Linked DNA regions of Pelodiscus sinensis. The protein of the gene in region 1 binds, or shares a complex with, the protein of each later gene. Links are inferred from orthologs where the notes say so. Each region holds a gene or a part of one and is shown on either strand. Other genes may lie near its edges. The genes, in order: GTF2E2, GTF2E1, GTF2H5 and POLR2B.

Region 1 (7,524 bases):
CAGATTTTGACAGTAATAGTCTTTGATACAGGCGCAAAAAAAAAAATCTATCTTTATGTCAATTTATTCAACTAGTTCAGTTCAATTACTAGTCTATTCAATGTTAATAAATCAAATGGGAATTGAAGCTGAATAAAAGCTAGTTTTTATTTATAGACTGAAAAAGGAAAGCAAAGTGTGAGAGGATGGGATGTACTGGTTCTACAAGGACATGGTGACCAGAACTGATCACAAGTCAATGCATAAACTACAGACAACTTCCTTTAATATATTAGTTACTTTTAAATACAAAACATGTTGAGAAAATTTAATTTTTTATGAATTCAGCACTTCGGACAATTTAAAATGCTATTTCCACTTAATGCACTTTAATTTAAATGTGAATTTCCTTGCCAATAGAGCTTGGCACAAATAATAAAAAAATAATCATCTTGTAAAACAATAAATGTATCATTCATGATTTTCTAACAATCAAAATGTAAAAACTAAAAATGTGAACTAAATGTAAATCAAGCTATATAAGTGCTTAAATGTAAATAGCTACACCATATACCCCTAGTTAGCAATAAGCAGCACCACATCTAGTGTAAACGGAAAATCAACTTTTCTTTGGGAAAATAACTAAAAGTACAAATGGACAACGAAAACTGAATTACATCCAGGTTTCTGCTTGATTATTTAAATTGTTAGTAAGGTTGGAAAGGAAGCTCTTTGGGGGTACCGACTGTTTTTTCTTCTATTTGTACAGCATCTAGCACAATAGGCTTCTGCTCAATGATTAGGGCTGCTAAGCATTATGGGAATATGAATAAACAAACAGTAGAAAATATCTTACAACAAAGACAAGTATAGTTCATGTGCCACTGCCCCATTCTAGGACCTTTACAAAAGACAAAGGATATTTTACAACTATATTAGCAACTTGCTATCTATAAACTGCGGATGCATAGACTTTGGAGGGAGAGATGCACACCCACCTCCCTTCCTCTGCACACCTAGGTGTGTGCGTGACTGGATTGGAGGGTGGGGAGAGGAAGGTTCCCTGGCCTTCCTGAAATGTGTACAGCTTGAACCTATTCTAGTACTCTCTGGTCTGGTATGATTTTAGTTAGCTCGATGTCCACTCATCATGAGTGTGGCCATGTTTCCCATGGTCCCATACAACTGGAAAATGTTACTAGACGCCCAAGTCCCAGTCTAAATAACCAAGACCCCTATAGGACTCAAGATGTCAATGGTATGGAATAGCACCTCGTTACCTTATGCTATAGGTTACCAAGGATAGATAGGGGACTCCCTACACTCTGTGCTTCCCCCTTGCTAGTGCTCATGGATAATTACACAGGACACCATCAGTTTAATCACTTGTCTACTGTCACAACACTTGAGCAAGCCACCACTACAGGAAGAAGCCATGGACTTGGTGAGAGACTCGGATAGGAACATGATGATCGAATCAGATGTTGGAAGTAGAGGGTACGGAAGTGGTTTCCATTATATCTACACAGGACTTACAGTTAAAGTCAATGGTTCTCAGCACCCACATTATAAAAATTATTCTAGCTCCTCTGGTTTGAGTGACACTTGGCAATAAGTAGCAAACCCATGAGCCCTGCTGTTGTTTTCTATTAGAGCTGTCGAGACAGGACTACAGCATCCCTGGGGCCAGTTCTGCACAACAGCTTGACTCAATGTAACTAATTCTGACTGTGAGTGAGTGGCGAAAGGGGGATCCCCTTGGGCCCCTGCAACTCTTGGGGGAGGAGGGGAAGGAAGGGCTCTCCTTGGGCCCTGCAACCCTTGGGGGAGGAGGGGAAGGAAGGGCTCTCCTTGGGAATATGCAGCTGGGGGCAGCGGGGGTGGTGCAAGGAAGCTCTTGGCGGGCCTAGTCGCCTCTGTGCAAGAGGGGGAAAGGAGGGACCCCCTGTGGCCCCCGCAGCTGTGTAGGGGCAGGTGAGAAGGCAGGGACCCCCCTGCTGCTCGGTGGCAAGAGAGAGACTCTCCCGAGCCATGGAGTGCAGCGCTGGTGGGGGAGGGAACCCCCCAACCAATGCAATGGGGGGGTTAGAAAGCAGGACACCTGGCCCACGCAGCTCGAGGGGGGCAGACACGGGACCCCCCCCCCGGCTCACGCAGCTCGAGGGGGGCAGACACGGGACCCCCCCCCCGGCTCACGCAGCTCGAGGGGGGCAGACACGGGACCCCCCCCCGGCTCACGCAGCTCGAGGGGGGCAGACTCGGGACCCCCCCCGGCTCACGCAGCTCGAGGGGGGCAGACTCGGGACCCCCCCCGGCTCACACAGCTCGGGGGGGAGGGGCAGACACGGGACCCCCCCCGGCTCACGCAGCTCGTGGGGGAGGGGCAGACACGGGACCCCCCCCCCCCCGGCTCACGCAGCTCGTGGGGGAGGGGCAGACACGGGACCCCCCCCCGGCTCACGCAGCTCGTGGGGGAGGGGCAGACTCGGGACCCCCCCCCGGCTCACACAGCTCGGGGGGGAGGGGCAGACACGGGACCCCCCCCGGCTCACGCAGCTCGTGGGGGAGGGGCAGACACGGGACCCCCCCCCCCGGCTCACGCAGCTCGTGGGGGAGGGGCAGACACGGGACCCCCCCCCCCCCGGCTCACGCAGCTCGTGGGGGAGGGGCAGACACGGGACCCCCCCCCGGCTCACGCAGCTCGAGGGGGGCAGACTCGGGACCCCCCCCCGGCTCACGCAGCTCGGGGGGGGAGGGGCAGACACGGGACCCATCCGCCTACGCAGCTCGGGGTGGGAGGGGGGCGCCCTCGCGCTCCCAGGCTGCCCCGCTCCAACCGCCCCGCTCGCGCCCGAGAACTCACCGGCGCGCGAGGCCGCCCGACGCGGGAAGGCGGGCGGGGGGCACGGGGGAGCAGGAGGAGGGGGGGACGACGCTGGCTTCGGCGGCTGCTGCGCTCCTATTGGCCCAGCGGCCGGGTACAGCGTCAGCTCAGAACGCCATACGTGGGGCGCAGGGAGCCTGCGCGGTGCGCACTGGAACTGCGCAGGCGCCGTGAGAGCCGCTGCCCTCCCTCGGCCCGCACGTGGCTCGCGGCGCGTCAATTAACTGTAGCGAGCGGCAGAGCAGGGGCTGCAAGGGAGCCCCGTGTGGATTGTGCAAAGCCGGGCTGGGGGCGGAGGGGGGACTCGTACCAGCAGCACAGGAGCCGCAATGCCCTAAGCGTCTCCCCCAGGCCATGCAGCGCGGGAGGGAGCCAGCCTGTAACCCCCGGGAGGATTTAAAAGTCTCTTATCCATTTGTACCTGAAGTCTCATCATAGCTCCTAAATTTGTCTTAGCTGTTGCTGTGATGCCCTGAATTGCACGCCCCTCCTGGTGACCCATTGTAAGGGCAGCTTTGCTCGAGCCAAGCATTTGAGCTTTTATTTAAACCCCCAGACCAAAACAATCACAATAGAAGGTAAACTGAAAAAACAACCAATAGTCTGGTAGCACTTTGTAAACTTACAGAACATGTAGAAAGCGGCGAGGAGTCCTGAGGCACCTTATAGACTAACAGAAGTGTAGGAGCATAAGCTTTCGTGGGCAAAGACCCACTTCCTCAGATGCACGAAAGCTTATGCTCCAACACTTCAGTTAGTCTATAAGGTGCCACAGGACTCCTCTCCGCTTTTGCAGATTCAGACTAACACGGCTACCCCTCTGATACTTGAAAACATGTAGAAAGTATTTGTTTGGGGGGAGGAGGGGGAGAGAGAAGAGAAAGGGTATGGTCTGGATTTTTGTTTTGTTTTAAATGTTCCTATATAAGTACGAAACAAGCAGCCCATTGAAAGCACTAACAATATTTCCAATGATTTGAGGATAAGTAAAGGTAATCTTAATACGGGTTGAGTGGCTCTAGTCCAGCACCCTTAGGATCTGATAGAAGGTCAGTATTGTCTAGCAGCATGACCAACACTTCCAGGCTGTGTCTACACTGGGCCACTTATTCCAGAAAAGCAGCCGCTTTTCCAGAATAACTTGAAAGCTGTCTGCACTGGCCGTTTGCTTTTCCGGAAAAGCAATGACGATCTACTGTAAAATTGTCAGTGCTTTTCCGGAAAAACTATGCTGCTCCCATTCGGGCAAAAGTCCTTTTCTGGAAAAACTGTTCCAGAAAAGGGCCAGTGTAGACAGCACAGTAGTCTTTTCCGCAAAAAGCCTCGATTGCGAAAATGACGATCGGGGCTTTTTTCCGGAAAAGTGCGTCTACATTGGCCACGGACGCTTTTCCGGAAAAAGTGCTTTTCTGGAAAAGCATCCTGCCAATGTAGACGCACTTTTTCCGGTAATACTTATAACGGAAAACTGTTCCGTTTTAAGCATTTCTGGAAAAGGGTGCCAGTGTAGACGTAGCCCCACTGTTTATTGGGGTTTTAGAAGACATTTAGGGATAAATTAGAACTAAACAGCACAGAACACTGACAGCCAAGGCTGGTGACTGTAAACAAACTTTATGGGACAGTGGGAAACTTGGTTATGCCCATCCATATAACCCATCCATATAACAAAAATCAGGCCAGATTGTGGATGTTGTCAGACCAGACAGTGCCAGACTAGAGTGGGTCAACCCATATATTTTAGTTTTAAGAACAGATTAATCAATTCAGCTGAGCATCCAAAAGCAGCTGAACTGTACTGGTGAATCTGGCCACTAATAACAATTGATCGATTCATTCAAAAGTTCATGTTCCTATATTTTATAATTGTAACTATATGGAAAATTTGAAGAATCTATATTATATTCCATGATTAACATAATTTAAGTCACAGTGAAGACTGGTAAAATGTGGAATATTTTAATGCACAATTTTAACTCTAATTAGAAAATTTACTTGCACATTCTTAGAAAATTCACTAAAAACTCAGATATTAAGTGTAGTGAGTTTGGGGAGAATATGTTGTACTTTTTATGCATAACGAGAAGTTGCTTTAAATGCTAAGTGCAACTCAACCTGACTTATGGAATCACTCACTACTGGAGCCTCTATTACAAAAAGTCTTACCGGTAATACTTTAAGAAAATGGTCTACATTTACTCAGAACCAAAATACTAACTCCCTGTTTTTATTTAAACATCCTCTGGTAATGTGTGAAAGCTAAAGGCTGAAATATTGTGCTTATGCAGGGGAAGAAGAAAGTTCTTAATAGGTAGCAAGTTAAAACAAACATAAGGAAGTACTTCACAAAACACACAATCATCCTGTGGAACTCCTTGGCAGAGGATGTTGTGAAGTACAAGATCTGTAACAGGGTTCAAAAAAGAGCTAGATGAATTCATGGAAGATAGGTCCACCAATGGCTATTAGCCAAGATGGGTAGGAATGGTGTCTCTAGCCTCTGTTAGGAACTGAGACTGGGCAAACAGGCTACATCAACACGGCACACTTATTTTGGAATAAGCTATTTTGGAAGAAATACTCTGAAATAGCTTATTTCGAGATTGTGCATGTACACTACAGGGAAGCCTCAAAATTAGTCTCGGGCAGGCTCCCCTAATCTGGATGTACTACCTCAATGTAGAGCCCCAGGAAGCACTAGGGAGTAATTACTTTGAATGGGCCTGGGGGAGGAGCTATTTTGAAATAGCAGCAGTGGAGTGTTCACACTACTGCTATTCCAAAAAAAATTATTTCAAAAGAGGCATTACTCCTTGTGGAATGAGGTTTACAGAATCCAGAATAAGCCGCCCGTCATTTTGATATTGCAAAATAACAGAATTGTGTAGACGCTCGCAAAGTTATTTCGGAATAACGTCCATTATTCCGAAACAGCGTTGTTGTGTAGACGCATTCCTAGGATTGGATCAATTGATGATTAACTGTTCTTTTCATTCCCGTTAGGGCACCTGGCATTGGCCACTATCGGAAGATAGAATTCTGGGCTAGATGGACCTTTGTTCTGACCCAGCATGGCCATTCTTATGTTTAAGTGAACCTGACTATAAACAAAAATTGACCAATCTAAGTGAAGTGCAAAAAGTAAACAATACAAATACTGTAAAATCTTTTCAATATTTTAAAATTCCCTGTTTTAAGAAGCTAAAATGTTATTAATGTATGAAAGGAAGTTTTGTTTAAAAAGAAATCTGACTGTCCTTGCATTCAATAGGGGAAGATAAGATCTTGTACATCAAGTTTCAGTTTGGAGCAGTTGTATACAGCAGAGATCCAATCACCTGAGATAGCCCCATACAAAAAAAGTTTTGGCATAGCTAGTAGAGCATGGTTTCTAAAGAATCTTCACTCCCAAAATAACTTTTATTACACCGTGTAATACTTTTCCAAGATGATATTCCTTATCCATAATGCTGGGACCAGTATGGCATATTTTAAAACTGTTTTACTGATCTACAAAGAAAAGAGGTCAGATAGCATCACTGTTGTTCCTTCCTACAACAGTTTTCACCCTCTTTTATATGTCTATCACCAATTTGAGTTAGAAATACATTTAGTTTCCTTTAGAATTCCATTTATTGTCACATTGCTAAACTACAAACTTAAATACTTTTATTTAAAACAAAAGTAGGATACTGTAGTGAGGTTGCACTCTGATAAAACGTGATTATGTTTTTAAAAATATGCTGCTTACTATTTAATACTATAAAGTGAAATACACTCATTTCAGCTTTCCGAGCACTTCTTTTTCTGACTCTTTTTTCAGTGTCAGTCCTCATTCTCATGCCACTAAAATAAGTTTCTAAAAATAAAACGAATAAAAGGAAGTACTTCTTCACAGAACACTCAGTCAACCTGTGGAACTCCTTGGCAGAGGATGTTGTGAAAGCCAAGATCAATTATAATCAATCAATTACATTTGTTAAACAGAACTAACATGATACATACAATTGAAAAGCAAGTGACCTCATTACTATCTACTGTGTAAATCTACCTATTGTTAACCACAAACTTTGTATACTGTCTTTTTTTTCTTGTCACATTTTATTTAACCTCATTTTTTGAGGGTTACAGAATCTTTCGAAACGAGGCATTTCTGTCGAAAGATCCCTGTCTTAGCCACGTTTTTTTTTTTCAAAAAGTGGCTTCAAAAAAAAAAGTTGTGGCCGCCATTATGCAAATGAAGCACAGGAAATTCAAATTCCGGCTTCATTTACAATTTCAATATGTCTAATTTACATCCCTTTATCAAAAAAGGGATGTAGTTTAGACATACCCAAAGAGACCTTGGGGAGAGGCTCCCTCCCGAGGTCAGATACAGTCTGACCCCTGCACTGCACAGTCTAATATCAGCTCCTCTCCCTTGCCAGCACCATGAAACCCACCCTAGAGCCAGACCTGGACATGCACTTCCTGAGAGCTGCTCTGAACACGGTCCTGGACACAGAACAGGACACCTCCCAAGGCCAGGTAGAGCTGCCTCTTCTGATTCCCTTCTGCCAGGAGCAGCCTCAGCTCCCTGGTCCCTTGATTGGCTGTAGCTGCAGAGACGGTTGGGTGGCAGAGATGGAAGAAACAGCAGCAGGGTTGGCTCCTTCCCTCCA
Region 2 (7,503 bases), on another chromosome or scaffold:
TGAAATGCACAAGAGTCCCCAGAAGGGGCTCTTGTGCATTTCAAAGCCATGCAGCCCAGAGTCAGTGGGGGACTCAGTCCCATGCTGACCCAGGCTCCATGCTACGCTGCATGCCACTAGGAGCCCGGGGTCAGCTGAAGAATCCCCAGCTGACCTCAGGTTCCGCAGGGCACTTCCCTGGAATCTGGGGTCAGCCGGGTTGTGAGGATATGTCCCTGACCAGGGCTGACCCTGGCCTCGAGTGCTGCCCCTTTAAAATGCCACCTCTGTGTGATTCAAAGGGACAGCCCGCCACACAGCTGATCCACGTATCAGCTGTGCAGCAGCCACCTTAGGGTTTCAAAGCTGTGCGGCGCTGCCACTTTGAAGGACTCCCCCACCCTTTGCTGCCTCTCTCTCATAGAGGCAGCAAGGGGGTGGGGGGAATATCAACTAGTCAAAAGGCTATCCGATAAGCAAATGCTTATCGGATAGTCCACTAGTCCTTAACATCCCTACCCCCAGTGCAGAGAGACACATGGAGCAACCAGCCACTTTGAGAGGCCTGTGGCTGCAGCAGGCAGGGAGCCTGTCTGAGTCTGCAGTGAGGCTTCCAAAGGCTTTGTGGTCCAGTTCTTGCCCACCTCTGATCTAAAGTCTCACTGCAGTGCTGAAGAGCGCACTGCTGTTTCAGCATATGAAAAGATGAGGTTCTGATCTCCTGTGATCATTAAAGGACATATGGTAATAGTTGCAAGATTAAGATTAGCATTGGCGTCCTGGCAAAAATCCAGATTTAATTATTATCTTCAGCCTCTTTAAAATCTCCCTGAAGTTTCAACTGAATTCAGTAATCATCACTTCTCCTTCTAATGTCCAAAGTTTTGCTGTGCACTTTAAAAACAAATGCCAAATTTCTTTTAAAAAAAAAAGTTGGAAAATGTGTTTTAGTATCTTTTGGAACGAAAAATGTTTTTCAGACATTAAGATAGTATCATCACTAGCCTCAGGCAAGGCATGACACTGGAAACAATGAAATATACCCTCCCATGGCCATTGTATGTTTCTCATTATGCCATGTGGATGGTTCCTCATACATTTCTCGATTTCCCAAGCCATTAGCTTCTGCTCTCAGCAGGTGATAAGAAAGAGGCAACATTTCACCAACGATCTGCTCATTAATGATATGAGCAAAACATTCTTATGATATAAACAAATTAAATTAAATCCTTTTCTATGTTTGGCTGACTCCATAAACGTGAAATTAAGCTATATGTGGCAACTGATACCCAGGAAATTCTGAAGAATTGAATTTATTCACCCACTGATACTAAATTCACTACTCAATGAATAATAAAAATCTCTATATATAGTTCAGAGATTTGCGTGTGTCTACAAGTCCGTTTGTTCAAGAACTCCTCCTAAATGGTAACAGCTAGGACCAAATTTGGTAGGCAGGTTCCTCTCATCATAACTTAAACCAAGGTCAGGGTCTGATTGTTCCAGGAAATTTAGATGTGCCTAGAATTCAATTGTTTTCCATTATATGGAAAGGGGGGGGGGGCTGAGTGGAGGAATGCAATACTGCACTGTGACCACTGGGGGGCAGCAAGCACTGAGGACAGCTACACCAGGAAACCAGTGGCCAGCTGGGTATTGGGTTTGTCATCTTGCCAGCCATCAGCCCAGGTAAGCAGCCACCCCCCCCTTCCACAAACCCGTACTCCAAGCCCTTGTCGCCAATGCTAGACTGGCAGGAGCCCCGCTGGCACTGCTGCCGAGGCCACTGTCCAGAGCACTATCAGAGCTGTGTAGCGCAGCCCTGGCCCTTCCGTTGGTAATGAGGAAAGAGGAAACTAAAGATGACAGGTAAACCCCTTCCATTAAAAAACTGACCATGAGATCTTTTAATGTCAATACAAAATAGACTTCAGTGTAAGTATTTAAGTCATCATTTGAAAGACTCACTCATAGCACACTTAGATAGCTTGGAAGTATCTTGGGAGATCTGAACCTTTAACTCTAGAGACAACTGCCCAAACTGTCAAGAGATTAGATGGTTAATTTCTTTTAGCTTTTGAAGCACAGACACATTATTCACTACAAGTTTAGAGTTTCACCTACTCGGACGTCCACCGAGCAGCCCACAGTCCAAGACGGGTTTCCCAACACCTGGTTTTGGCACAACAGATGAACAAGTGAAGACTTTCCAACACCTGCAAAACAAACATTAACTGAAGCTGCATAGTTGGCAATGCATGATCCTTACATTTGACAGCAATACCAAAATAACATTGTGTTTAAATCTCAAGAGGGATGATAGCATAATCTTCGATCTATTTAATAAGGTGGAATAATCTTGGTAAATCAGATAAAAAGGCTCAGCAGTCAAATTCTAAATATAGTACAACTTAATATAAAACAATGTACTCGAGTAGAAATAGTATTCGTACTAAGTATAACTTAAATGGCTATGAACTGATTATCAGAGCAAAGGATAGTGTTCTAGCTGTATTGTTAGACAAAACATTTAAAACTATGATCCAGTGTGCAACAGCAGTAAAGAAAATACTAGTGAGAGGAATACCATGGGTTTCTCTACATTAGAGTGGAAGGTGAAATGTCCAATTCAGGTAGATGTTTGAGCTCGTGCACTAAAACAGCAGTATAACTGCAGGTGCACAGGCTGTGGGATCTGCTAGTTGCCTCAAATACAAGCCTGTCTGAAGCCCATCCTGCTGCCTCTACAAAAAGCCTCAGTGGCACTTCTATTTTACACGAGCTCCACCAGAATACTCACATGCTACCCAAACTAGAAATTACTCCTCCAGCTCCACTGTAGACATAGCCTACACATGAAGTAGTTTGTAAAATTAAGGCTAACTAGCATATGGGCTTTTGTCAAAAGAAATACATAAGTCTGAAGCTATTGTTTATATAAAAACATGTAAGCCACATTTGTATCACAGTATCTAGTGCACCTTATCTGAAGAAAAATATAACTGAATTGGAGAAAGTGCAGAATTAGACACCAAAAATGATAATGGATTAGCAGGTGTTAAAAAGGCAGGGATAGTGCTAACGCTGGAAGTGAAGAGTGGACAATGAGAAAGCGACATAATTGAAGTACTTAAGAATTTAAACTGGGACTTGTTCTAAAATTAAGCTTACATCTAAGAATTTACACCATGCTCATAATTCAGAATATTTCATATGTTAATATAGGCCATAGTTTAACAATCTACTTGAAGTTTCCAGACAGACCAGAGCAAGTGGACATGAATATAAGAGAAAACAGAATTTTACAAGGCCGAGACTAACAGGTGGAATGGATTTTCAGTCAAAGTGCAGAGCCAAACAATGAACACAGGTTTAAGCAAAAATTGGATGACTATGAAAAGTATAAAATTCAAAGCATCGTCCATTCGGTTTGTACTCCACAGTGGCTGCTGTACTTCCCCATCCTCCAGTTGGTCCCGTTATTTTTGCTGGCTTATGAGAGTTTCTTTTGCCTGGAAATATCTGTCCTTCTCTGACTCAACATTTTTGAGTTTTTTTGTAAGCGCCATCAAACCGGCCCAGACACCCCAATGGGCTGTGCCGTACCCCACAGGGCTGCGGGGTGTTTTGACACTAGAGTTGTGTTTCTCACAGCAGGTCCCATTTGCTACCCGGCCCCGGGGACTTAGCAGACTCAGGCTGAAGAGGAGCGGCAGGCGAGAGCGAGGGGGCTGGAGGCGGGCGAGGAAACACGAGGGCGGGCACCCACTAGGGAAGGGAAGGCCAGTGGGGTCTGCACCGTCCTGCCCAACGGTCACCCCCCGCCCCCTTTCCATTCCACACGCGCCTAGGCCCCCGTTTCTGCCGGAGCGGAGCCCTAGCGCTGGCCCGGGCTTTGCCCAAGGGCGGAACGTTCAGAGGAGCCACGCGCCAGAGCTGGGCCACAGCCTACGGGGGGGGTGGGGGGGGTGGAGGAGGGAGCCGCGTCAGAGCCGGGGCACGTGGCAGGGCCCGCGTTCCAAGACAGCAGCTTTGACTTGCACCACTGCGCAAGCTCGAGCCGGATGTCGTTAGCGACGTCGGGGGGCGGAGGGGGAGAAGGGGCGGGGATTTGCTGGGACACTCGCTCCCGTTGCAAGGCACCAGGCGGGACTGCCCCTGTGCGGAGGTGGGGTGAAGCGGGAAACCCCTCACTCACCTGAGTCCCCCAGCACCAGCACCTTGACCCTGTCTAACGCAGCCATCTTACCCTGCCTAGCAACAGTCTCCCGGCACCGCCCCCTCGGACCACTCACTCATCCCATTGGCTGTCCCCTCACTTCCGCAAGCCTCTATGTTGCCGTCTTCGCTTTTGATTGGCAAATGTGGATCGAGGCGGGGCCTAGTGAGCTCTTCAGAGAACAATTGGTGCGCCTTCCTGTCAATGCTCATCGCAGCCGGAGATTGGGGAGCGTCGCCGCCTCCTATCCCCAACTGGGTTGGACCCAACAGGCTCGCGCCGTGGCGAGGGTGGGGGTGCCTCGTGTGTGCGTCACAAAGGTGCGCTGCTGCCGGGCTGGTGTGCGACGAGCGCTGCGTATGACGCGCCGTGACGCAGTTGCCGAAAGCGCCGCCCGGAGACGGAGCCAGTCCGGAGCGGCCGGCAGGCAGGTCAGTCCCGTGCTCTGGCGCGGGGGGCGGTTGCTGGTGCTGCCGCCGCCGCCGCTTTCCGTGCGCTGCAGCCGGGGCGACTCGCAGTGAAATCTTACCCCCCGTTTCCAGGGCCAGGCAGCGGCGGTTCGCTCCCCCCCCGCCCCCCCGCCCGAAGTAAGCCACGTTCTCTGGCTGTTGCAGCCGGACCGAGGCGCGCGGGGGGAGTTAAACGGCGCCGGGGCAGCCCCGCGAGACGCGCCACGTGCGTTGTGCGAAGCCGGCCGTGCGCCCCTCGGGGCAGCGCGCTTCGGGCCAGCGTCCTCGCAACCCCGAGCGCCTCCCTTTGGGCCCCATTGATGCTCCTTCTCAGGTCCAGAGGCTGGTCCTGAGAAGCGTCTGCTGGCGGGGGACCTCTGCCTGGCATCAGGCTCCCCCACCCCCCCCCCGCCAGCTCCTGACTATTCAGCGTGAGAGACGGATCGCTTTCTTCCCTCATCTTTCTGCTTTCCTAGTCGCTGCTTACACCTTGTTCTGCTAGCCAGCTTGCTGGGTAGTTCCAGGTCCAGAACTCAGGCGTTTTGCCTTAAGAATAAAGAATATTCAAAAGGAGATTTTGGGAAAAGTAATGGGGTGCAAGGAAATACATGGTTAGGTTAGAGGAATTATAGAAGGGGGATTTAGGCAGGCTGCTATAATAGATTTGGAGATTAAGTTTAGGAAAAGCACAGCTAATACAGTGGGAGGGGGAACCATCAGAAACAACACACACAATGGCTGTGTCTAAGAGACTGGCAAGTGTTTCCGGAAAATCAGCCGCTTTTCTGGAAAAACTTGCCAGCTGTCTACTCTGGCTGCTTGAATTTCTGGAAAAGCGCTGACGATCTCATGTAAGATCGTCAGTGCTTTTCCGGAAATACTATGCTGCTCCCGTTCGGGCAAAAGTCTTTTTCCGAAAGACTTTTTGCGCAAAAGGGCCGGTGTAGACAGCACAGGACTGTTTTCCGCAAAGAAGCCCCGATCGCGAAAATGGCTTTTGCGGAAAAGCGTCCTGCCAATCTAGACGTGCTTTTCCGAAAATGCTTTCAACGGAAAACTTTTCCGTTAAAAGCATTTTTGGAAAATCATGCCAGTGTAGACGTAGCCAATAGGTGGAAGGAATGCCATAAGAGACTGAGGTGGTGAGTAAATAGGTGGTCTCATATGAGACCAAGAGGTGGTGAGTGATAGAGGCTGTCTACACTGTAAGCTTTTGCTGCAGAAAATATACTAATGAGGGGTTCATTAATATGACTCAGGTTGTCGTTAGCATATTTTCTGTCTGTTGTTTTTGTGCAAAAAGAAGCAGCATAGCTGCTTCCATTTTGCGCAAAACCCCCTTTTTGCCTCAAAAAATCCTAATGCCTCAAAAAAGGTGTAACCAATCTTGCGCAAAAAGGGGTTCTTGCACAAAAAGGAAATCTCCACACTGCTGGTTTTTGTGCAAAAACTGATCAGAAGAGCGTATGCAAATGCAGTGCAAGAAAATGCAAATCTGCACTTCATTTGCAGTGCCTCTTCTGGCAACACTCATAGGCTATGTCTACGCTGGCGGGTTCTTGTGCCAGAAATATGCAAATGAGGCTACACGGCCCCTTGCGCAAGAAAAACCCTCTTGTGTAATGCCTCTACGCTGATTATTTTCAGGAATAACAGCATTGCACAAGAGGGTTTTTCTTGAGCAAGAAGGGGCAGTGTACATGCTCCTTCTGGTGCAAGAGCCTCTTCTGCAAAAATGGCGGCTCATTAGCTATATAGATGAGGCTTGGCGATATTCCAAGCTTAGCCTCATTTGCATATTTCTGGTGCAAGAACCCACCAGTGTAGACATAGCCAGAGTGCAGATGAGACATGAGTTTGCAGCTGCTGAAAAAATGCCTACCTCGGATACCAAATGACAGGACTTACCCTCCCACCTTTCTTGGGATACTTATTCCTATCCCACTTCAACTAACTAGTTCTCTGCTTTTGCGGAAAAACTTGCCAGCTGTCTACACTGGCCGCTTGAATTTCCGCAAGAACACTGACTATCTCATGTAAGATTGTCAGTGTTCTTGCGGAAATACTGTGCTGCTTCCATTCAGGCAAAAGCCCTCTTGTGCAAATGCTTTTGCGCAAGAGGGCTAGTGTAGATAATGCAGTATTGTTTTGCACAAAAAAGCCCCGATCGCAAAAATGGCAGTTGGGGCTTTCTTGCGCAAAACTGCGTCTAGATTGGCACGGACGCTTTCCCGCAAAAAGTGCTTTTGCGGAAAACCGTCCATGCCATTCTAGACGCTCTTTTCCACAAATGCTTTTGACGGAAAAACTTTTCCGTTAAAAGCATTTGCGGAAAATCATGCCATTCTAGACATAGCCCTTATGTTTTGTAGATTCTCCCTCATATGAGTAATGGTATGGAATTAAGACTAATAATGTGCCTTTTCAGCCACCATCGTTTTCTCTTCCTTCTTTGTGTTTATCATCAATGTTCATAAACTGTCATATGCCCCCCCCTTTGTTCTTTAGCTGCACTAAATATTAAGAGCCAGATCATTCCTCATACAATAAATAAGTCAATTCCTTTAGCCTCTTGATTACTCTTGTTGATTTCCTCTGAACTGTCATATCCATCAGTTTGTCAATTTCTTTCTGAGAATGTGGTGCCCAATGCCAAATAAAACGTTCTAGGTACAGTTGCATCCAAGATATAAAGAAAATGAGTTATCTCCTTATCAGAAGTTGTGCAAGGAGAATATACTGAGCCTTTTGGCCTGTATAATGAAATCATATGAGTCTTTAGAAAGGATTCTGAGATGTATGAGAAACATATTACTAAAATAGACCCACCATCTTATTAACTTCATTGGAAAAAAT
Region 3 (7,460 bases), on another chromosome or scaffold:
AACACAAAAACATGCGTTTCATCTAGGTCTTGTATGATGAATTTCTTTCCCAGGGCATTTGACTCATCCAGGTATAGTAGGAACTGCTTCATGGCTGGGTCACTGTAGACAAACATGCACCAGAATCCATATTATTGGCAGCGACAAAATACAGCAACACAGTATTAAGTAAAACAATTTTGGAATGATGGAACTTAAAAACTTCTTCCCGTATAACCTCAATCTCAAGATTTGTTTGTTGCCTACATCCATCTTTTTACAAGAATAACTTTTAGGAAAGCCTTTAAGCAAAAGTGACCCTGTTGGGACATTTTACAAATTAAACTGTGACTAGCTAGAAGGGCCCAAGAGGAAGAAAATTGGTAGCCTAACTTGCAGAGAATAATGATTACATTGGTATTATGAAACAAAGAACAGGACTATGTAGCACTTTAAAGACTAACATTATTGTATGTTTTTAGTAAAACATGTATAATGTGAGTTTATGGACAGTTACAGTTTAATATCATTGGTTTACATATTCTAGTTCTTGTCTGATTTTAGCTATATAAACAAAGCCAAGGTCCTTTGTTTTCAGTTTTGATTTTATTAAAAATATCATTGGAATTTTGGTGTTTATTACAAAAATTAAAAAGCTCAAACCAGCTGAGAGGGAAGATGCCGGGGCTTCTCCCCTCTCAACTGTTCCACGGTGTATAAACACAGGCTCTCCCTCGGCCCCACAGAGTGCCCTGGCCAGCACTGGGGCCGCCGCCAGCCGGCCCTTCAGCAGAAAGCCCGCCTGACCAGTCCGCCCCTGCCCCAGTCAGCACGCAACCAGTCCCTCTCCTTCCCTCCAGCACCTCACCCAACCCTCCCTCCCCCTAGCACGTGGATGCTGCTGCTGGTTCCGGTAGGGTTACCAAGTAGACACCCCTCCCCAAAAACCGGACACCTGATCGTGGGTTGGCGGGAAGCAAAGCTGGGGGACCACGAGGCTGGTGGGGGGGCGGGAAGCAGAGCTGGTGGGGGGGGGGGTGCAGCGGCACTGGTCGGGGGAGATCAGGAAAAGGAACGGGCTGGCAGGAAGCAGAGCTGGAGGGCGGTGCAGGGGGGCTGGCTGGGGAAAATCAGGAGGGGAAATGAGGGAGAACCAGCCCGCCGGGAAGGCAGGAGGTGGGGGGCTGAGAGCACAGGGTTTGGTGTGGGGCATTAGGGTTGGAGTATAAGGTTGCTGGGCTGGAGTCAGGGCAGAGATATGGGGGACTCTTGGTAAAGGGTAGGGGTTAAGATGTGTGGGCATGGAAGGTTTGTGAGGGCAGCTCAGGGCAGAAGGTGATAGAGTGAAGGCAGGAGGGGTGGACTCAGGGCACAGAGTCAGATGGGGGGGGCTCAGGGTAGGGAGGTGAGGGAGCAGGAGTCAGGGCAGGAGGCAAAGGGTGCAGAACTCAGGAGGAAGCTGGAAGAGATTATGAGGCTTAAAAGGATGACAATGCTGTGCTGACAACTCCTCCCGAGGGGACAGAGCTTCACTTTCCTGGGACTCCCCGTGCCCTCCCCCCTCCTTTCAGGATGGTGTTGTTGGGGTGCAACAGTCCCTGCTGCTCAGGCAGCTCGCACGCCAGCTGTTTTGGGGCTATCTAGATTATAAATTGCAAACAGTTGCATACTGGTCTAAGCAGAATTTGCCTAAGACTTCTGTTCAGTGCAAGAGGCACAGGAGAGACACTGAAGGAAGCAAAGCTTCTACATGTTCTGTGAAGTGGCTAGGATGTTTGAGGAACTATACAATTAAGAAAAGCTGAATTTCAACTGAAGACAGAAGTACTAACCATTCTATAAGAACACCCTTCAAGACATTAACCATCTTCTCCAACACACTTAGAAAGCCCAAATGTGGCAGAAAATAGATCTTGCTTTGAATTATGCTTGTAGGCAGAGAGAAACTGAAAAGAGAAAAAAATAACTGATTTTTTGTTGACCAAAGTGGCCATTCAAATTTGGCATGTATACTTTTAAATCACTGTAAGATTAGTGAAAATTACATGAACATATAAACAAAAGCTTACATCATAAATCCTAGCCTACATGATAATCTTACTTTTATAGAAGAGTGTGTCACATTTAACAGATGAGGGGAGACTGTTTCATGCATTACAGTAATGAAATAGTGATAGAAATGTAGCCGTGTTAGTCTGGGGTAGCTGAAGCAAAATGCAGGACAATGTAGCACTTTAAAGACTAACAAGATGGTTTATTATCATCTAATAAACCATCTTGTTAGTCTTTAAAGTGCTACATTGTCCTGCATTTTGCTTCAGTAATGAAATAAACATACTAATTAGTAATACAATCTTCTATCTTGTGAAGAACTACAGAAATTATGCAAATAAGTTATACAAAGAAATAGACAAGTGAGTCTCACGATAAGCAGGGCTTCTAGTTTTTAAGGGTGTGTGAGACTCACTTCATGTAGGGGTTTATTTTAGCAGTTTGAGTTGTATATAGACCCCCGCAAAGCGGTTTCTTTTAGCTTTTCAAGCACATAGTGTAACACGTAGCGCACGTTTCACACACATCTAAACTATACAGTCTCACTCATTACAGTGTCTATATCGCAACGGGCAATCACTGCAGCGTAATGCAGCACCCGACACCCAGCACCGGAGAGCACCAGGGAACCCCTCGTGCGCACCAACAGACCCCCCCCCCGCCCGCACACACACTGCTGCTCCCCGCAGACTAGCCCCCGGCTGCGGGTCTATCGGGGCAGGCACAGGGCGGCTGCGCGGGGGGGGGGGGGAGCAGGTGAAGCCGATGGGGCTGCGCCAAGGCCGGGGGGGGGGCGGCAGCGCGTGAGGCCCGATACCCTCCCTTCGCGCGCCCCCACCTACCCGCGGCCGCCCCCTCACGACGCAGCGAGCGGCTCCCAGCCCAGCAACCGCGCGAGCCCCCAGGCGAGAACCGAAGCGAGAGTGCGCACGCGCGGGCGCCGCGGCTCCCTTCCGGCCTCGCGCTAAACGGCGATTGGCTCAGGCCCGTCTTGCGTGGTGACGACACACGGGGGCGTAGTTGACAGCTGTCGGGAGACGGGAGAGAGAGGCAGCGGCCTGGGAGCGGGGCAGGTAATGGGGGGGGGGTATTGGCCCATCCACGTGTGGGGAGCGACGCTCTGGGAGCCCCTGTGCTGGGGTAGCGGCGGGGGGGGGGGGGCACGGGAGCTTCATAGGGTGCGGGCTCTGGGCTGCTTGAAGGGAAGCTGGGCTGCAGGTGGGGCAGGGTAAGTGTCCAATGCGGGGAGCAGCAGCGTGTGTGTGTGTGGGGAGGGGGGGGGGCAGCAGCTTATAACGAGTCTGACCCAAAATGAATTTGAAGAGCAACTAGAGAAGAGTAAAACTAACAAACAGCAAACTAAAACACGCTGCAGCAGCAGTGGGAAACCTGCCCAGCGGAGCCCTTTGGCTGGGTGATCAAGGTGTCATAGAAGCACTCAAGGAAGACAAGGCTGTTGTGGAGATGTTAAATGAAGTTTTTGCAGGGGGCTCCTGCGGGGTCTTATCAGTTACAGGCTGGGGCCCAAGTTCAGGCAAACTGGTTAGAACAAAAAAGTAATTATTCAACACACAGAAGCACATGGTATGTAGAGAGTAAACATGGCTGTTGGAAAAGGGTATCATACTTTACCAATGACTTAGCATTCTTTGAGAGTATCAGATGGCAGGATGATCCAATGGATATAGCATACTTGGACTTTTATTAAAACCTTGACAAGGTATCTTACCAAAGTCTCTTAAGCAAAGTAAGCAGTCATGGGATATGAGGTAGATTCTCTTTTGAAAACAGTAACTAGTTAAAAGATAGGAACTGTTTTTTCTTCACACAGCACATGGTTGGCCTGTGGAACTGCTTGTCAGAGGAAGTTGTGAAGACCAGGACTTTAACATGGTTCAAGAAAGAACTAGATAAACTCATGGAGGTTAGGTCCATCAATGGCTATTACCCAGGATGGGTAGGAATCATGTCCCTAGCCTCTGTCAGAGGCTGGTAATGGGTAATAGGAGAGGGATTGCTTGATGATTCTCTGTTCTGTTCACTCCCTGTTGGGCATCTGTCATTGACCTCTGTTGGAAGGCAGGATACTGGGCTAGATGGACCTTTGGTCTGACCCAGTTCTTATAGCCATTCTTATGTTCTAGCCAAGGGATAAGAAGAAAGAGAGCAATAGCCCTTCCCACACCAAATATCTCTACTATGACTGCTCATATTCAGCAATGATCTGGAAAAGGAAGTGAAAGATGATGTGGCAAAATTTGCAGATTAAAAAAAATTACAAAAGATAATTTAGTCCAAAGATGACTGTGAAGGGTCTCAAAGGCATCAAAGAGTCTCAAAGACATTTCATAAAACTGGGTGACTGTGCAACAAAAATGGCAGATGAAATTAAATGTTAATAAATACAATATTATTCACATTGGAAAACATAATCCAAACTACCTGTATATATAAAAAATATTAAGGTCTAAATTAGCTTTCACTTTTCAAGAAAAAGATCTTGTAGTCATCATGGATAGCTTTCTGAAAACATCTGCCCAATGTGTAGATAGAGTAAAAAAAAAAAAACTAACAATGTTATAAACCATTAGGGAAAGGTTAGTTAAAAAAACACAAAATATAACAGTATCCCTTTATAAATCCATGGTGCACCCATCCCTTGAACATTATGTGCAGTTCTGTTTGCCCCAACTCAAAGATATATTCAATTTGCAAAAAATACAGAGGAGAGTAAAAAATGATTAAGACAATGGAACAGATTCTGAGGAGAGAGACAAAAAAACCTGAGACTGTTCAGTTTAGAAAAAACACAGCCAAGGGGAGATATAAAATTATGAACGAGGTGGAGAAACTTGATAAGAAAGTTTTATTTATGCCTTTGGGTAACACAACTAGGGGTCACCTGATGATTTAATAAGCAGCAAGTTTAAAACCAGCATAAGAAAGTGTTTCTTCAAACTATGCACAGTCAACCTGTGGAATTCCTTTCTAAGGATCTTGTGAAAACCAAAAATATAAGTGGGTTAAAAAAGAATTCGATAAATTCATGGATAACAGATATATCAGTGGCTGTTATCAAGAAGGATGCAGTTCCATTCACAGGGTATCCCTAAATCTCTGACTGCCAGAAGCTGGAATTGGAGGACAGGAAATGGATCACTGTTTGTTTGTTAATTCCCTCTGAAGCACCTGGTACTGGCTGCTGTCGGGATGGAGGAAAGGGAGATAGATGGGCAATCTGTCTGACCCTGTATAATCATTCTTATGTTGGGGGGGTCTACGCTCAGGAAGCTACGGGGGGGGGGGGGAGGATTCTGGGTTTGGGGGAATACAAAGGGAGACATGGCTTGTGCCCTTGTTTTGGCCCTTGGTGATAGGTAAAATGGTTCTAGAAAGAAATCCGGGTTGTTCTACACTCAACCTTTTAACAAAGGCATGTTCAGTTGCTGTCAGCCGACAGTCAGGGCAGTATGTGTGTGTGTGTTTTCGAGAAAAGGTTTAATGTCCGTGTCTTTACTGCTAGGACCGGGGTCCCGTCGCAGAGGGTAGCCAGCAGGCCAACAGATGCCCCTTTATAGAAAGAGCTTATTACACCTTAGATTTTAGCTGCTAGAATGCAAGATTCCTTCGCAGCGGGCAGCCTTAGGAAAAGACTGAGAGGTGCCCCAACGGACCTGTCACCTGGGAGTGACACAAATCCAAACGCCCAAGCTCTTCCTATACCTGTTCCTTATGACTGGCTGAAGTTCTTTTAAATTGTGCTTGGTTTTGTTACAGCAACTGAAGGAGTCAGGTTAAAAACTTAAACAGTTACAGGTTTATTAAAAAGACTTATAAAACCATATGGTTACAATGGCTATTGCTCTCTTTCTTAACTGTTAGCAAATACAGATTTTAAAAATAGTTACAAAGAAAATAAAGATAGAAAATAGAAATAATGGTACTAAGTGACAGCTTAATCTTTAAAGAGCTCTAAATCTATGTGTACATTTACGACAAAGGACCACATCCAGGTACAATTTTTACCCCCTTCTGTGCCTCTCCACTTAAGCATGTCAGGCCAGGGCCGGTCTCTCAATTCCTAGGAAAGACGAATACGAGGTGGGCGTTCCTGTAGAACCTTGGGAGATCAAACACCTAACCCGACCAGCAGATAGATGGTAGATTGACACTCAGAGTAAATGTGCTGCTGGACCCATCTTTATATCCCTGGGGGCCCATATCCTCTTTCTTATCTAAGAGGCCAAATTGTACTGGTCCGTATTGTGGCGCCAGTTCTTACAAGCAAGTTTCAAGTTAATTTACACTTGCAAGAGAGATAACTAAATTGTGAGTACTAGACATTTTTTTTACTGGGCGAGAGATTCCTTCCCCCCCCCCCCCCCCCCCCGCGGACGGCTGTGTGTTCGTATCAATATGGGTTAAGTCAAGGGCACTCCTTGGCAGCCTCTTGGTCAGCAATTGGCGTATCTTTGTTTACAGCCATTCACGGTCACACAGCCTGGGCCTTCTGCTCTGTGTGCCCTGTATGCTCCAGACAAGCAAAAATGGATGTTACAGGGAGGGTTCCTGTCTGGCTACAGTTGCTTTGAGTAGAGACTCTTTTTCTGAAATGTTGACTAGATGTTTGGCATTAAATAGTACTTAATAAAGGCAACACAAGTATCCAGTCCTAAGCATCCTGACTAAAAATCACTTTCTCTCTCAGTTGCTCAGCTTTCACTCTGTTGCCTCTTGTCTGCTGTTCCACTAATTTTTTTTGGGGGGGGAGGGAGGAAGGGGGGGCTGTTGTAGCGTCTCCAAGGTTAGATAAGGCCTGATCTTATAATATGAAGGAGGAATGGGGATGAAGCAAAAATAAAAATAATCTTTTGGATTTCATTAACATGTTTTAAATAAGTAAAAAGCACATAAGATCAATTTTTCCCTTTGCATGGCATTTTAATGTGTCTGGTTGTTCCTCTTCGTGACATCAGGATGCTTATAGCTATAAAATTGTCTGGGACTAAAACTTCTTGCTTCCTGCATCATTCTAGTGATTCTGGAATTCTCTTGTTAGGACCTTACATAATTTTGCAAAAGTGAGTGTTGTCAAATCATACTACCATGTTTGTCCTAAATTCCAGTAGTTAATAGCCCTAAACCCTGTGGTGAAAACAGGCAGAATGCTAACTAAACTTTTGGGTTGGAGACAGATCTGTTCTAGAGTAATCACTTGTTTTTCTGCTTGTAGAAGAGATCTGTGAAGCTCAAAAGCTTCTATCCTTCACAAACAGAAGTTCATTCAATTAAAGATATTACCTCACCTACCTTGTCTTTCTTGTTCTTGTCACTGAAGACAAAAGAATGACAAAGGATAGGGGAATAGCGGTGTTTTCCGTCACTGTTACAGATTAACTCTGTAACTGTTTACTGGAATGATAGAAGAT
Region 4 (7,974 bases), about 4.4 Mb from region 1:
GTTCTGCCGTTTAACTGCCTATTTAATTTAATTGTGCAAGTGCTCATTTGAGGTGTGGATGCTCCCCGGGTTTTTGCTCAAAAACCTTGTAGTGTGGACGTAGCCTTAGTGTATTACAGTAACCCAAAGGACCCCAATTGTGTTCCCATTGTTATAGTCATCACCGAAAACACCAACCTTCACCTTTCAAACACTTATGCATGTGGTTAATTCTATTTGTGGGAGTACTGATTCGGATGGAATTGCTTGAATAAATGTAGGATAAGGTCCTTGGTTTGCAGCAATTACAGTCTGTGCAAGAAAGTATTGCCTGCAAAGCTTACAAACTACACAAAGCTCTAGCTCAGTGTTTCTTAAACTGTTCCGTGGCACACCAGTGTGCTGCAAGGTAGTCGGAGGTGTGCCGTGGAGAAAAACAGAATTCAAAATGGCCACCCTTAAAGGGGCAGGTGACTTTTTTTAGGCTCAATAACTTTCCCCGATCCTTCCCCCCCCCAATAACTCCCCCCTCGATTTTTTTTGGGGGGGGGGGGGGGTTCTTCGGTCTTAAAAAGTTTAAGAAACACTGTTCTAGCTGCTTGCTTGCCTGCCTTTAATCGGTTAGCGGTTACTCAATTAAACGGGATTCTGCATCCCTAGTTCATTCCCTCTGGGGCACCTGGCATCAGCCACTGTCGGAAGACAAGATGCTTGGCTAGACAGACCTTTGGTCTGATCTAGTATGGCAGTTCTTATCTTTAATGAATTCTTATTCTGATATATTGTTACACTATCGCATACACTAATAACCCAAATCTGAATTGTATCACAAATGCATGCTGGCTAGCAATTTTTACTAATCAAGAGTGCACTTTAGATACTAACATACCATACAATAAAGTTTAATTGAATCTTTAATGCAGTATCACCATTTGCTCTTAAGATTTAAATATTCTCTCTCAGATAACACTCACCTATTAAATAACCTTGCTTTTTAAGGCATTTAAGATATTTTTGTTCATCACCACTAAGTTGTTCTTCAGTTTTTTCTGCATCTGCTTTTAATCTTTCCTGTCTTCTGAACAGCCTGTCAGGTGTAGGATTAATAATTGGAAATTTCAGGAGATTTAAGGTTGTGCCTGAAAAATAAATGCCAACGTTATCCAGGTCTATGATTGCGCAAATTAAATATAGTATATAAAAGCAATTAAATGTTAAGGTGCAAACAGTGAAAAAAGCCACATACAGAACAAATTTCACTGGCTTTATGATGGCCTCATTCTTCTTTATGAAACAGAAAAACAATTACACAATAACAAAACTAAAGACAACTGCTAAGTTAAAGACTCTTCTCAGAAATTACTGTCCACAGTGGCTAGGACAACACTATGATGTTGGACAACAGTTGTTAGCAGTTGTGTTAGCTTCTAGGAAGCCAATGTGCTGAGCATGATACGAATGGGTTGCACCTATACACACATCCTTTTGCAAAGAAACATTACTTGTGGTACAACTGCATGAAAACTAGCAAAATTCTTCACAATTAAGACCTAATCCATTTTGCCATTATCATGATTCTTATTTATGGCAATTAATTTACTGAAAAATAAACGATAAAAGCCAGACATGAAAACTATCTTTAAAAACTATTGCAAGTAAACAGAACTTTTATAAGAGCAAAACCTGGTGTTTCTTTCAATTTGCCTTTAAAAGTGATGCGCAGAGAAAATAGGACTGTGGTCATTTAGATTTGATTTTTTTTAACTTTATAAATTAATATCTTGTTTGTAGCTTTTTCCCCCCGGAAGACACCATGGCCTTTTTGAGACTAGGAAGGAAGATATTTTTTAAAAATGTGTTAGCTAACACTAATGCATTTTACAATCTTAGTACAGTGAATGAAATTGTATCATTTATAATTTTCAGACAGGTTGCCATGTTAGTCTGTTTCAGCAAAAACAATGAAGAGTCTTTAAGGTGCCACAGGGGACACACATTTATTTGGGCATAAGAGCTTTTATGTGCTGCAGTCCTCTTCATCCGGTGCATGAAGTGGAAACTACAATTAGGTGGGGAGATATACACAGATGCAATCTTGTTATAATCTATAACGTTTTAGCTAACCAAGGTCAAGATTATGGGGGAATGGAGTGTCAGTATGAGTGTCAAGAACTGTTACTTTGGGGCACCTACTATCTCAACAGGATGCTACTAACACCATTGCTAGGTCACTTTCCACACAAGTGCCAGACTCACTGAATAATGCCACTAAAAACTAGAGAGCCCTGTTTCAATTAATATTCTTCACTATTGAACGAGACTGGTAAATATTTTCCCCAGAGATTTTGAAGCGCGTTTGGCCAAATAATAGGACCTGGAATTTATGGGTTATGTTTTGAGAAACGGACATAATCCTGACATGGGACTTGCTATAGTCAGTCCTGGCCAGTGCCAAAAAGAGCCCCATTAGACTGAAGGACCGGGAAGAGGATTAACATCTGATATTAAAATACATCACACCAGTACTCTGCTCTCTGCAGGTCACTTTGCAGTTTAGTTCTGTCCTGCTGTCTGACTGCTTAGCCTTTTCCAATACTGATGCTGCCTGAATTTTTGATATTGGTAGAACGGGCAGCAGCGAGAATGAGACACCCATGCTGAAAGCAGAGAGGAGCTAATGTTTGGTTCTTCAATTTGTCAAGCAAACCTCTGAAAATGTAAAAGTTCTGCACTGGGACTGGACTACAACTAGGAGATGTGCTACTGCTTGAAGCCTGACAGATAATTCTCCTCCGTGAAATACACAGCTCTGAGCATCACCATAACATACCAATGTTGGAAATCAAATATAAGTGTTCAAATGGCAGATTTACTACCCACTTCTCAAACTAACCCCCAATCTTATCTCACAATCACAGCTCTTCTAAGCTGCCCCAAATTATTCCTTTCTATTAAATACAGCTACATCTAACCCTTAGACTGCATGCAGATGATTCCCATTGGCTAAGGCCAGCTTCACTAGGCTGAGTCAAGTTACGAGTTTTCAGAAGGTTTGAATCGTGCTGAATTTGAAGTTCTGGAAAGGCATGAGCTACCACCAGACAACCTTATCTCTGTGCTAACAAAGGTTTTTGCCATTTCACATAGCTAAAGCCTTTATCATAATGCCTATGCACGAGACCAACTTAAGGTAGCACAGGGCAAGCTTACCGCTTGCATTTGTTAGCTACTGAGTGCTTGATTTTGCAACCTTAAAAGTTCTTTTGCCAACTTTTTTTGGGGGAATGTTATTATATACATCACTACAAGATTTGCCCCACGTTACTCAGGTGCTTAACTCAAATATATCTGAAAGTCTCTCAAATATATAGTAGATAACACCCAAGAGTCTGCAGTCAAGAACAGGCCCCTATATAAAAGCCAGTTCTTACCCCAAAAAGAACTTGAGTTTTTTTAAATTCTTACCCCCAAAAAGCTTAAACGGATAATGACAGAAGTCCCCATCCATGCCCCTCTCACCTGGCCAGGGCGAGATTGTTGCTCGGTTGATCACCTCTGGGGCTTTGGACTTGCAGTAGTCAGACTGCAGCAGAGTATTGAACAGTGTGGATTTGCCAGAGTTGGTAGTGCCTATGAGATACACATCGCCATTGCACTTCCAGGAGCGCTGCAGCTTGGAGATCAGCTCCTCCACGCCATAGCCTGTCTTGGCACTGATGAGGTGCACATCCACCAAGTTGTGGCGCCCAGTCCTGTCAGCCTGGTCCCCAATGCCCTTGGCTGCAGGGAGGATGCCCAGGCGGGCACAGCTCTTCAGCAACAACTTTCGGAAGCGCTTCAGATAGTCTGGAGAGTCCCCAGGCAACAGGTCCACCTTGTTGCCCACCACCAGGATGTTTGACCCTGCACTCACCAGCTCAGGGAGGTCTGGCAGCACGGAGTCCGGTAGGTCCAGCATATCAACCATATACAACACCAGGGGGGACCGACCATGCCGGGGGGGGCTGCGCAGAGCCGCGCTAACCAGGCTGCGGTATTGCTCCCGGGTCACCTGCATGTGCTGTGCCTGCTGGTGATGGACCAGGAGCCAGCAACGTTGACACACCACCCCCTGCAGGGCCCGGTGTACCTCCGAGTCCCCCAGGGCCCCCAGTCCGTCTGAGCCCCCTGGGGTTCCCTGTGCCCCCAATTCCACCGAGCCCCCCAAAGCCTCCTGGGTCCCCAAACCTTCCAAGCCCACCAGGGGCCCCAAATCCTTCGACCAGCTTGGGGCATCTTGTGTATCCGATTCCTCCAGGCTCCTTGGCCCCCCTAAACTTTCCAAGCCCCCCCGCGGCCCCAGCTCCGCCGAGCGCCCCGGGCCCCCCCGCGGCCCCAGCTCCCCCGGGCCCCCCCGCCTGCCGGGGCTCAGGAGGCCGCGGTACTTGTCGCTGGGCAGGAAGCCGGGCGCGGCGGGGTCCCGGCACTGCAGCTCCGCCCCGCAGCCCGAGCAGCTCACCCCGCTGGGGGGCACCGAGGGGTCCGGCCGCCCCGGCGCCCGGTGCTGGCGCTTGGGCCGCGGGCCGCGGTCCGGGCGCGGGGGGGCGGGCGGCGCGGGGCCCGGCTCGGGCACGTACTCGGGGAAGACGAACGGCTCCTCCTCGCCGCGCGGCTCCCGCAGGGCGGCCAGGGCCCGGCGCCCCGGACACAGCGCGGCGGGGGGGCGCGGGGGGGCCCGAGGCCGGGCCAGGGCCCCCAGCAGCGCGCGGCTCAGCCGGAGCATGGGGGGCGCGCGGCGGCTCCGCTTCCGCTTCCGCTTCCGGCCACGCGCGGGGACAGCGAGAAGAGCGCCCCCTGCCGGGCAGTGGGTGCGCTAGGCTCCTCCCCTCCCCACTGCGTCCGATTGGCCCGCGCCACCCACGCGCTCCGGGAGGGGCGGCGCACGCGCGTTGGCCGCACGCCCCGCTAGGAACTAGTCGCGCGGTGGCTGTTTCCGGCGGAGCATAGTGCGGAGACGCCAGCCGGGAGCCGCACGCAGCCGCAGTCCGCGCCGGGTCTCCTGCGCGTGCGTGTTGGCGCTCCCCGAGTCCCTCCATCGCGGCGGCGGGTCCGAGTCCGTGGCAGCCGCTGAGGCCCCCCCCCGCACCGCCAAGATGTACGACGCGGACGAAGGTGAGCGCGGGGGTCCGGGCCCTGCTCCGTCTCCCCGGGAGCCCCGCGCGCTCAGCCAGGCGGGTGCGCGCGCAGGCCCCGGCCCGTGCCCGCGGCGTGTGCCCCCCGCGGGGAGCCCTGCGCAGCCTGGCGCCGAAAGGGATGGACCCGCCCGGCACTTGCATCACGTGCCCCGGCAGGGCCTGTGCGTGTCAGTCCCTCTGCCCCCGGAGCAGGCCCCGCCCAACGCCTCGGACCCCAGCCCGCGCGCTTTAGTGCTCTGCCCCAGGCACCTCCTGTGCGGGTTTACAGGCCCTTCGCAGCCACAGCCAGGGGTGTTAGAATGGGGGCAATGGACGAGTCAGGTAGTGGGTGGAATGTCCATCGCTAGTCAATAGGCACTTCTGCATTCCTCCTTTGAGATGTACAACAGGGGTTAGCCGGGGAGTCCCCGCTGACCCCGGGCTCCAAGGCTGCCTCTTTGAAACACGCGGCGGTGGCGTTTCAAAGGGGCAGCCCTAGAACCCAGATTCCCCAGCTGATCCTGGGCTCTTCATGGCATTTCCCCAGAACCCAGGGTCAGTTGGGGAGTTCCCAGCTGACCCCGGGCTCCACTGAAATGCTGCGGGGAGCTTTGGCGTTTCAAAGCATCAGCAGCACACAGCTGATCCCCGGCTCAACTGTGCAGCGCTGCCGCTTTGAACTACCCCATCCTCCTTCCTTTTGCTGCCTCTCATAAAGACAGCAAGGGGGAGTGGAAATCGACTAGTCTACTGATTATCTGGTAAGCAAATGCTTATTGGCTAGTCGACTAGTCCTTAACATCCCTAGCCCCAGCCAGGATCTCTCCCCTCCAGGGACAATCCCCAGCAACCCTAAAAGCAGCCTGTTAGATCCAGGCCCCAGCATGCTCTCAGTAACAGGCTGTAGCTACAACACAACAGCTCCTGGTCTGGAAAAGGCTCTACACCAGCACAGCCTGGCTCCTCCCTCCAAAATGGAGCTTACTAGCTCTCTTCGTCCATGCCTGGAAGAGCCACCGTTCCTTCCTTCTTCCCAAGGGGACTGCACGGGTAATTGGACAGGCATGTGACTGTTCTAATTTCAGCCACTACATGACTATTCCATAGTCCCTGGGGGCAGGGCCAGCAGCCAGTGTGCTCCCCCCTACTCCTGGCCCCATTCCTATGGAGCCCCCTGCTACCCCACACTGCTACCTCTGAAGCCCCAGATATCAATGAACACAAATGTTCCCCCTAATCTTTTCCATGCATGTGCTGATTTTTCCATCCATATGTGGAATAAACTTTTTATGTGCCCTGAGGCATGTGCCAAAGTGCACCTAGCTGTGGATCCTCTCCTAAGCATCTGGGCCACATTTGAATTTCTAAAACCAACTGCACAAGTGCACAGCTTACACTTAAGCCTTACAGGAAACATTGACCAACATTCCATGGTGCTAAGAGCTGAGCAAATACAGAAAAAAACATGGTCCCTGCCCTAAAGATCTTACAGTCTAACTATTACAGGAAAGCTATGAACAGAGCCTATTGTTAGTCCTCTTACAGGTTTTATTAAGCTCATTAGATTGTAGAAAAGCAAGGTATTTATGTACAGCTGTTGGGTAGTTAGAAGCTATATTCAGCCAAAAAATCTTGAATGAATAGAAAGACTGACCTGAGTGTCCTACTTTCTTGGCAGATATGCAATATGATGAAGATGATGATGAAATCACTCCAGATCTATGGCAAGAAGCATGCTGGATAGTTATTAGGTAACATTAATATTTTTAGAAAGTTTGATAGTAGTGAAGTAAACAGGAAAGTGCACCCTTAGCTTAAAAAAGGATCTAATATTTAATGTGATGAAAGTTCCAAGATTTCATATCCAAAATCATAAATGTTTTCTCTTTAAGAATGAAAGAACTGTTACAAAGAGAGAGTATGAGATTTTAGACCACTGGTCCTATGTATAATTAGCCAAAGATGAATGGTTTTGAAAAGTCAGAGCCCTCCTAGACAATCTGAAAGGTTTTTCTTGTAAATTCAGCACTAACACAATATTTTCTGTTACTGCTTGTGAGTGTAGAGCTACACTATGAGATTACTGCTAAGAAATGCAAAATAGTGAATTGGCAAGTAAAAGTCCCGAACACACAATGTCTTGTATGTGGGTCATCAGGGAACAAAGTTGAGAGATCGGGACATAAATATTTGGCTGTTTTTGAAAGTTTCTTTGGAACAATTGTATTTCAACAGTGTGCTGTGAGACAAAAACAAGAACAATTACATAGAGCAATAATGTGTTTTGATTAATTATAGTATGTTTATCTTGAATTTTAAAACCTCTTGATTACATATTCATAAACTATGTTAACTGAGAATTTTTGTTAATTAATGTTCCTGATTTTTTTCTAAGCTCCTATTTTGATGAGAAGGGCTTGGTCCGACAACAGCTGGATTCTTTTGATGAGTTCATTCAGATGTCTGTGCAGAGAATTGTAGAAGATGCACCACCTATTGATTTACAAGCTGAAGCTCAGCATGCTACAGGGGAAGTTGAAGAGCCGGTATGAGTTTCATTCTTTTAATTGTACTGATGTGAAAATTGTGCTGGGGACTCTCATCACAGTTGAACAACTGAAGGCTGCCGCAGCAGATCCAATTAGTGCGTGATATAGCTAAAAAGGAATGCATATGCTACCAGCAAGGGAATGAATGGATCACTAAATAAAGCAATGGCAAAAATAGTTTGTCTGTAACACACTTTATCCAGGGTGAGAAACACAAAAATGTTCAGCACTCATAAGTGGGGTCAGATATTCAAAAGGGCTCAGCTCCCATTGTTCTCATTTGGCACATTACC

What was found.
Region 2: the proteins of GTF2E2 (region 1) and GTF2E1 are in contact, whole or in part, in a crystal structure (PDB 5GPY), measured with the Homo sapiens proteins. The link is inferred for Pelodiscus sinensis from reciprocal best matches to the Homo sapiens genes GTF2E2 and GTF2E1. Residues at the interface, in NP_002086.1 of Homo sapiens: Asp159, Gln160, Arg161, Gly162, Leu163, Gly164, Gly165, Leu167, Leu190, Val192, Asn193, Arg194, Pro195, Ile200, Phe202, Cys208, Gln209, Phe210, Ser211, Val212, Asp213, Glu215, Phe216, Gln217, Leu219, Trp220, Arg221, Val223, Thr224, Val225; in NP_005504.2 of Homo sapiens: Arg16, Lys19, Tyr20, Val21, Arg23, Gly24, Phe25, Tyr26, Ile28, Glu29, Leu32, Arg39, Leu51, Leu52, Lys53, Phe54, Asp55, Gln58, Gly68, Asp69, Lys70, Phe71, Lys73, Thr98, Asn101, Val102, Val103, Lys104, Tyr105, Lys106.
Region 3: GTF2E2 (region 1) and GTF2H5 share a complex: the UniProt entries of both Homo sapiens proteins name them as parts of the TBP-based Pol II pre-initiation complex. The link is inferred for Pelodiscus sinensis from reciprocal best matches to the Homo sapiens genes GTF2E2 and GTF2H5.
Region 4: GTF2E2 (region 1) and POLR2B share a complex: the UniProt entries of both Homo sapiens proteins name them as parts of the TBP-based Pol II pre-initiation complex. The link is inferred for Pelodiscus sinensis from reciprocal best matches to the Homo sapiens genes GTF2E2 and POLR2B.

The regions. Positions count from the first base shown.
Region 1 is NC_134715.1:5,047,594-5,055,117, reverse strand, and holds the start of GTF2E2 (transcription initiation factor IIE subunit beta), read right to left. Parts: upstream 3,009-7,524; 5' UTR 2,843-3,008; intron 1-2,842. UniProt on the Homo sapiens protein: Recruits TFIIH to the initiation complex and stimulates the RNA polymerase II C-terminal domain kinase and DNA-dependent ATPase activities of TFIIH. Both TFIIH and TFIIE are required for promoter clearance by RNA polymerase.
Region 2 is NC_134711.1:142,369,045-142,376,547, reverse strand, and holds the start of GTF2E1 (general transcription factor IIE subunit 1), read left to right. Parts: upstream 1-4,490; 5' UTR 4,491-4,629; intron 4,630-7,503. Other genes in the region: RABL3 (rab-like protein 3), read right to left, coding at 2,104-2,195, 4,275-4,410.
Region 3 is NC_134713.1:112,364,406-112,371,865, reverse strand, and holds the start of GTF2H5 (general transcription factor IIH subunit 5), read right to left. Parts: upstream 3,006-7,460; 5' UTR 2,874-3,005; intron 1,926-2,873; 5' UTR 1,847-1,925; coding exon 1,812-1,846; intron 103-1,811; coding exon 1-102. UniProt on the Homo sapiens protein: Component of the general transcription and DNA repair factor IIH (TFIIH) core complex, which is involved in general and transcription-coupled nucleotide excision repair (NER) of damaged DNA and, when complexed to CAK, in RNA transcription by RNA polymerase II.
Region 4 is NC_134715.1:614,132-622,105, forward strand, and holds the start of POLR2B (DNA-directed RNA polymerase II subunit RPB2), read left to right. Parts: upstream 1-4,968; 5' UTR 4,969-5,111; coding exon 5,112-5,130; intron 5,131-6,810; coding exon 6,811-6,883; intron 6,884-7,527; coding exon 7,528-7,678; intron 7,679-7,974. Other genes in the region: NOA1 (nitric oxide-associated protein 1), read right to left, coding at 954-1,118, 3,499-4,741. UniProt on the Homo sapiens protein: Catalytic core component of RNA polymerase II (Pol II), a DNA-dependent RNA polymerase which synthesizes mRNA precursors and many functional non-coding RNAs using the four ribonucleoside triphosphates as substrates.